Xenopus tropicalis: one gene and its partner. The protein of the gene in region 2 purifies or fractionates together with the protein of the main gene of each other region. This does not show direct contact. Links are inferred from orthologs where the notes say so. Each region holds a gene or a part of one and is shown on either strand. Other genes may lie near its edges.

Region 1 (3,827 bases), on a different chromosome or scaffold from region 2:
GCTTGCTCTCTTTGATCATACCAGTCTATGAAGTTCTACTCCAACCCTCATTAGAATAAAGGGAAGAACAAGCTATGAAACCCAGACCAGTGTGGGAAATTAAGTGTTAAATACCTGCTTTTTAGTACCAATATCTGGCACAGGAGCACAAAGCAGCCATTAAATACTTATACTTACCATCCTCTTATCCATTTTTGCTTTGATGTCTCTTGCCAATGTAAAAAATGCCTGTGAAAAGATAGAAGAACTTGATATCAAAAGCAATACTATGAGTGGGTGATTCCTTTAATCTCTTGCCTATATAGTACAAGTACTAGACAACAATAAACACTCTTTGGGGCTGATTTACTAAGACACGAATTCGAATTGGAAAAATTCCGACTGGAAAACGAACATTTTGCGACTTTTTCGTATTTTTTGCGATTTTTTAGTCGCCTTTACGACTTTTCGGAAATTGTCGCAACTTTTTCGTAACCATTACGACTTGCGCGAAAAAACGAGAGTTTTTCGTAGCCATTACGATTCGCTCGTATCTTGTCGCGACTTTTTCGTATTGAGCGCTCGTAAGCGGCGGGCGAAACTTTCAGACTTAGCATGATTTTGGAAGCCTCCCATAGGACTCAATGGCACCCTGCAGCTCCAACCTGGCCCAAGAAAAGTCACCATGCTGAAGCTTGAATGAATCTGAATCTTTCGTACTCGGCGCGAAAGCTGCGAAAAAGTCGCGACTTTTCGCGCAAGTCGTAAGGCTACGAAAAAATCGCAACATTTTGCGCAACATTCGGAATGGCTATGAAAAAGTTGCGTCAATTTTCAGAAAAATTGCAAAATACCGATCATTACGGAAAAAACGCAATCGGACGCATTCGGCCCGTTCGTGGGTTAGTAAATGTGCCCCTTTGTATCTCTATATAGAAAGATGAAAACACTGGCAAAACACTGACCCCAAACATGAAGTAAAAGTGGAGGTTTCTTAAAAACATACAAAAATTTATTTTAGATTCTCCAGGAATAAATACATACATAAATCACAACACACAAAGATCAGACACATATAGGTTATTATTTCTGGTTACGGCCCCCTAAACTCATATTCATACATACACTTGCATAGGTATTCCACAAATCTTACCATAACCTGGACCCACTTAGATGCAGCTTTGGGCCTCCATTTTGGAACTACTATTGTGTCCGCATAAAAGTATCATACCAACACTATAGATTCTATGTTTCAGGGCTCTATTTTGACATGTGGAACTGTTACTAAGTCCATTGCACAAAGGGTTAAAAAGGCAAAACAGACAACAAAAAGGCCATATGGAAGGGTTGTTATAAATATTGGGAGTTAACATTCTACCCCAAAAAATATCCCGGCGTTTTCTGGTGCCCCATTGGTTGTCCTATAGTGCTGGGTAATGATTGCATCAATGAAGAGCCATCAGGCACAGGGTACAGTACCATGTTGCGTGGTTTTTTCTCACTACACAGCACTACAGATTTTTCTTTTTTTTTTGCCGATACGAAAGAATATGGAAAGTTGCAGAAAAATGCTCGGACTTCTATAAAACACCCACTGCCTTTTTGACTATAGAAAACCTATGACTATATTGTTTGCTGACCACTCTTCACTTTAACCTGTTTTGATTGTTAAGGGAACAGTAACACCAAAAAATTTAAGAGTTTTAAAGTAAAAGAAATATAATGTACTGTTGCCCTGCACTGGTAAAAGTTGTGTGTTTGCTACAGTAACTCTACTATAGTTTATATAAATAAGCTGCTGTGTAGCCATGGGGGCAGCCATTCAAGCTGGAAAAAAGGAGAAAAGGCACAGGTTACATAGCAGATAACGGATAAGCTCTGTAGAATACAATAGTGTTTCTGTTATCTGCTAAGTGCCTGTGCCTTTTCTCCTTTGAATGGCTGCCCCCATGGCTACACAGCTGCATTCTTTATATAAACCATAGTAGTGTTTCTGAGGCAAACTCACCAGTTGTACCAGTGCAGAGCAGCAGTACATACACTTGAATTTTTTTGGTGTTACTGTTCCTTTAAGGGTGTCTACCAATGAACATTACTCTCCCCGCTTACTGAATTAAGCACGTTCAGTCTACTTACATTTTCCACATTGATATTTGCCTTTGCACTTGTCTCCATGAACTTAATTCCATATTCAAGGGCCAGCTGAAATACAAACAGTGATATTGCTAGTTATTTGAGGCACTGTACTATTTGCTTGTTCGGGGGCTCACAGTCCTTCCCACTACAGATAAAAAAAAACTGATTTATATTTCAATTAGCGCTCGCGCTCACCCAGTTAATTAGTAGGTTCGGGTGCTTATGCCGCAAACCTTTCGCTTATCACTTTTTTCTCTCTTTGTTCTGGGGAATTTATGCTCATATGTAAGTTCAAAATGCAGGATGCTCACTCACCACTTCCTTTTGGTGGCCCGGGTGCCATGCCCCAGACCCGCAGCATGGGGAGATTCAACTTCAATAGCCAGCACAAAACAGCATGCACTCATCGGACTCCAGGACAGCGGATAAAATTTCAAAAAAGCTTTATTAAGGATAAAAACCTAACCGTTAGGTTTTTATCCTTAATAAAGCTTTTTTGAATTTTTATCCGCTGTCCTGGAGTCCGACGAGTGCATGCTGTTTTGTGCTGGCTATTGAAGTTATTTGAGGCAGAAAAAAAAAAATTGGTAATGGATATGCTTCTATATTTTCTCTAAATATTTTAAACAAATGCACCACATTCTTATGTCTCTATCCTTTAGCCTCATTCTTTCAATATTCACCTTACTACATACTGGGTAATATTCTAAACTATATGAACAAAAAAATGCACCAGATTCTATTTTCCTGAGGTTAATACTTAAATTAAAGTCCAAGGAAACTGAGAAACAATTGCTCAGCCTTTCCCATTGCCCAACACCATATTTATTTTATGCAAAACTGTTAACATGTATTAACATGACCCTGCCCTGAATATCCTTGCACATATATCCCACTGACAACATCATTCCTCTCTTCATTCTTCCTTTAATATGTCAAGTCTAATTTGGACTACAGGAGCACTTACATTAAGCACATGTGACACCAGCCAAATAAATAAATTATATATATATATATATATATATATATATATATATATATATAATATATATATATTTTTTTGGGGGGGGGATGATTGGCGAGTGGATATGCACTATTTTTATGCCCTGGCAGAGTAATGCTCAGAGTTTTCTTCTACTTAAAAGGGCTAAAGATTGGTTATTGTTATAAAGCATTTGGAAACTTATTTTTCATATATTTTTAAATGTACCCAAACAGGACCTCATAGCTCGTTTACCTATTCACAGCTTAATGGGTTTTAAGCTCAGATATCAGAACACCAAAACTGTTAAATAACTCTTACCTTTTCACCCTTCTCTTTGGAAACTTGTCGCTTTTCATTCACATCACATTTGTTTCCTAGGATCATTTTCTCAACATCAGAGGATGCATGCTGGAAGGCAAAGAGTGTAAAGGTTTATATTTGCATCGAGAACTTGTCAGTCAGAATAGTATGATGGTATCAAACATTAGTTTTCCTATCACGCTTTGAAGTCAAAGTGGCTTGTCATGCAATCAAAAGTCTGACAGATGGTCATACATCATACATGCTGGTCATACAAAGATCACCAGAGCCATCTTTACCTCTTTTATTAGTTATTGGCTGTTTTGTATGTAAATCTGTTCAATGTATATTGTAAAACATTGTGGAATATGTTGGTGCTTTATAAATACATGATGATGATAATAATGTAGGAAAAATCTGTTTGGCT
Region 2 (3,827 bases):
AATTGCAATGCATTAGCACAATATTGTCCACCTTAACATAAATGTGCGCCCAATTTGTAAAACCACACAACACCGATTACATTTATTTTAATGCATTGGTTGCTGGAGCAAATACTAAGGAATTATGGGGGGGGGGGGAATTCATTGTGGCTAAAACCATTTGCAGCACAAATGGGGCATGTTGTCTGTTTTGTAAGGAATAAGTTATGTTATTTAAAACGCACAGCGGTAGTGGAATCCATTATGGACCACAGTGGTGACAGTCAGTGGAAAGGTTGGCAGATATATAGCATTCACTATGGGACATGGCAAGAGAGTGAATTAGAATCCAGGGGCAGCTTATTTCATTTATGGTTCTGTTTGATACTTTATCCCTCTAGAACATCAATATGCACCTTTCTAACCATTTTATTTAAAACAGAAGTAAAATCACTTAACAGGGGCCAGTCTCCTAAGGCCTGAACTGATATTCAAAATAGGGCCGGGCATTTCAGGTACACAGTTCCCCACCAGCCCACATGCCATAGACATAGTGGTCTATGGCATCTTACAGCAGCCCCTCTGGCATTTGCTAGAACCCACAGATTGCCAGTCCAGGCTGACTCCAGCTATAACTACACCTGCTATAGATGGCTTCTCTATGTTGCCGTGCCTTCTCATACTGTGACTAGGCAGTGCTCCTGCTCTGTCTATCGAGCATTTCATCAGATTTCATTACATTCCCTGGTACGGGCTTAATCCATAAAGCAGGTGCACTGTAAAAGTGATTATAGCCCTAGCTGTTTTATTTGTCTTTCTGCCAGCAATTCTTTGTCAGTCTGCTTTTCAAATGCTATTAAATCATAGTATTATGTTTCATGGTAATCATTTTGCCATTGGTGAAACAGTGTTAAAATCCCAGTTGTAAAACATCAAAGCCGTATGAGTACTGATTTGAGGATGTGGTTTATTTTTTTGTTTTTGAAGTAACCACAGTGTCTGTCAGTGTATAAAGGAATGACCAAAGAGGGGGTTATTTATTATATTAGATAATACAATAATCAGAAATGAGGGGTTGTTTATGAAAACTTACACAATTCAGGTATGACAGGGGAGAGTTACTCACTTACTTTCATGCCTAGTGCTGCACTGCCATCTTTTCAGTAATTTGACGTCAAAAATGTTACCATTAGGCACTTGCACAAGTCTGGGAATTTGTAGCTGCAAGGCAGCCTTGGGAAATAAAGGAAAGATGGCAGAGCTAGGTAAGAAAGAGGCCGTGACTAGGGCAGTTTTTCTGAACCAGGGGGGTAAAACATTGATTGAGTACATGTGCCTAACCTATGGGCACCCCAGTGCATTACCCTTTCCTTGTTCTTTAAGACCTTAGATGGGTTAAACTTGGTGGGGTTTCTCCAATCCCTGTATTCCATGCGATCTTAACCCATTTGAAAAGTCAGATGACATCTTGGGAAAAAAAAACCTGAAATATTTGAATTTTTGAGAGTAGAAAAATGAAATATCCAAATCTCCAAACCAGAATATGCAACTTGAATTTTTAGAATATAATTAGCATATTATTCTTAAATCAAGGGGAATCTCCCTTTATCAAACACAAATCTCCAACCTTGACCTTTGACAAATCTGCCCATTAGGCTAATGCCACAAGGGGCTGATTTTTAGCCAGCATTTAAACACAGGGCCTGTGGTTGCCTAATCCTGTGACTGTACCTGGAGCCACTGCCTCAGGCTGGGTGATGGCACATGGAGCGAATTTCAGAACCAAAAGTATGCATTTTGGAACCAAAATGTGCTCTGTGTGCCTGCACCTAGGCTGATGCAGTGGCTCCAGATAAATGCAGGATGAAAACCAGCCATGTGTGGCATTTACCTTAGTCTAATAGCACAACGAGCGGTTTGAGAGACACATTTTTAAGTTGCCAAAGTGTCAGAATCTGCCTCCTGCTTGACTTTCATTGAAATCACCTTAAGAGCATGTGCCTGCCACTGTAGGGGGTACCATGTTTTGATGCCATGTTTTTTTGGCTGCCTATAACTGTGCTGCTTAATTCATCCCAAAGAGATACTGAGTTCCAGGATCCTTAATATGTGGGTGCAGAAGTAATGATACATAGGTATTTGACACTGTGTATGCCACATAGTTTTGGTTTACTCATTCATTTGTTAAATATTTTGAATTAGCACACAAGCTTTCAACTTTATGGACTATTGTCTTTTTTTCCAACCCAAATTAACACTGTGACTATGTATAGTGTCTCATTGTAAATAAGTGTACGAATTGTGACCTTTAATGACTTTGCATAGGCAAAACTGCAGTTATAGTGAACAAGTTTTTAGCTTTAGTAGTTACAACCTCAAACATTAATGTCAGCTGGCTTCTTGTTTCTTTCCTCCCAGCAGAATGGCGGCCATAAAAGCTCTCCAGCAGTGGTGCAAGCAGCAATGTGATGGCTATCGAGATGTCAGCATCACTAATATGACCACCTCGTTCCGTGATGGATTAGCATTTTGTGCCATATTACATAAGCACCGTCCAGATCTCATGTAAGGAACTCTCAGAGGCCCTCATTTCCTCTGGTTTCACTTTGTCTTCATGTTACTTGTTGTTTAATCCCTTATGCAATGCACCTTACCCATGTATGTAACAATAGTTTTCAACATTTTACTATTGGCTGCCTGACTAAAGTACATTGTTTTCTAACACATACATGCTTTTTTGCCTTCTCTTCTTGACCAGGGTGTCCTTATGGCACACATTACGTTTGTATGTTGCATCTGAAGATAAAGGTGATTTACCCCTTTAATAACCTTCTCAGCACAACTAATGTTACCTGATTCTGTGGGCAACTGCAAACAGAAAGCATTTTGTAACTGGGGCAATTTTTAGGTCTTTGGACAGGGAACAAAATGCTTATAATCCCTGCCACCCTCCCCTGTCGACTTGAAAGACAGTTGCCTCTGTGGGTGGGTGAACTTGCCTGTAAGGTGATTGTTGGTCAGGAAATGCTGAATGGTGTATTTTTTGAACGAGTGCCCCCTTGGCAGATGATTGCCATACAAATCAGTGAGTGGAGATTTTGAGCATTTTGTTCACTACCAATAGAGCTTCTGACAGCCAGAGCAACAAATTGTTTGATACTGATCTGTGTGCCAAATGCCTGTGTGTCCGGTACATAAAGATACATTATCATTTTTTTTCTATTGTTTTTTAATGAATCATATGTTGGAGAGTGCTAACAAGCTTTAACAACCAGTGAATAAAGGCAGCATTTCTTTTCCTACCCCCCACAATGGTCCCCTGTACAGTATGCAGAGAGAAAACAGACTGTCATTGAGTTGTTGGGATGAGTGGCCGCCCTGATTCATAGTTGGACAGCAGGGCCTGGTGGGTGGGTGGCAGATCATTAGGGTGTGTTCCTTAGGTTGTAACCTTAGATTTTTTGTATTAGGTCCTTTCATGTATTTTCATGTAATTTTTTCCACAAATTTAAGACAAGGCGCTGGTATTTCGAAATTCAAAATTCCCCTGATATTAAAGCTAAAACTATATGTGGGTGCACGCTCTAGGTAAATGAATACGTGTTTGAGCAATAATTTGTACAAAGAAAGCACATCTTGCTAGGGTTTACACTAGATTAACAAAGAATAGTTGTAGAATGAGACAGGAGGATTGTATGGACCTGCACACAAGAACTTACATTTTTAAAGGTCACCTATTCGAGTAGATGAGTGGGGAGAGGATAAGCTGTCCGTTCTACTAGTTTGGTAATGTCCCCCCCCCCCAATGCCAGGGATGGTAGTCTAGATGGCTGCTTTGCACTGGCTCT

The links.
Region 1: the proteins of micall2 (region 2) and rab8a purify together in Homo sapiens (co-immunoprecipitation; 3 studies listed by BioGRID and IntAct, with this or other methods). This does not show direct contact. The link is inferred for Xenopus tropicalis from reciprocal best matches to the Homo sapiens genes MICALL2 and RAB8A.

The regions. Positions count from the first base shown.
Region 1 is NC_030677.2:104,435,655-104,439,481, reverse strand, and holds part of rab8a (ras-related protein Rab-8A), read right to left. Parts: intron 3,509-3,827; coding exon 3,419-3,508; intron 2,182-3,418; coding exon 2,116-2,181; intron 229-2,115; coding exon 178-228; intron 1-177. UniProt on the Homo sapiens protein: The small GTPases Rab are key regulators of intracellular membrane trafficking, from the formation of transport vesicles to their fusion with membranes.
Region 2 is NC_030685.2:29,658,686-29,662,512, reverse strand, and holds part of micall2 (MICAL-like protein 2), read left to right. Parts: intron 1-2,397; 5' UTR 2,398-2,401; coding exon 2,402-2,544; intron 2,545-3,827. UniProt on the Homo sapiens protein: Effector of small Rab GTPases which is involved in junctional complexes assembly through the regulation of cell adhesion molecules transport to the plasma membrane and actin cytoskeleton reorganization.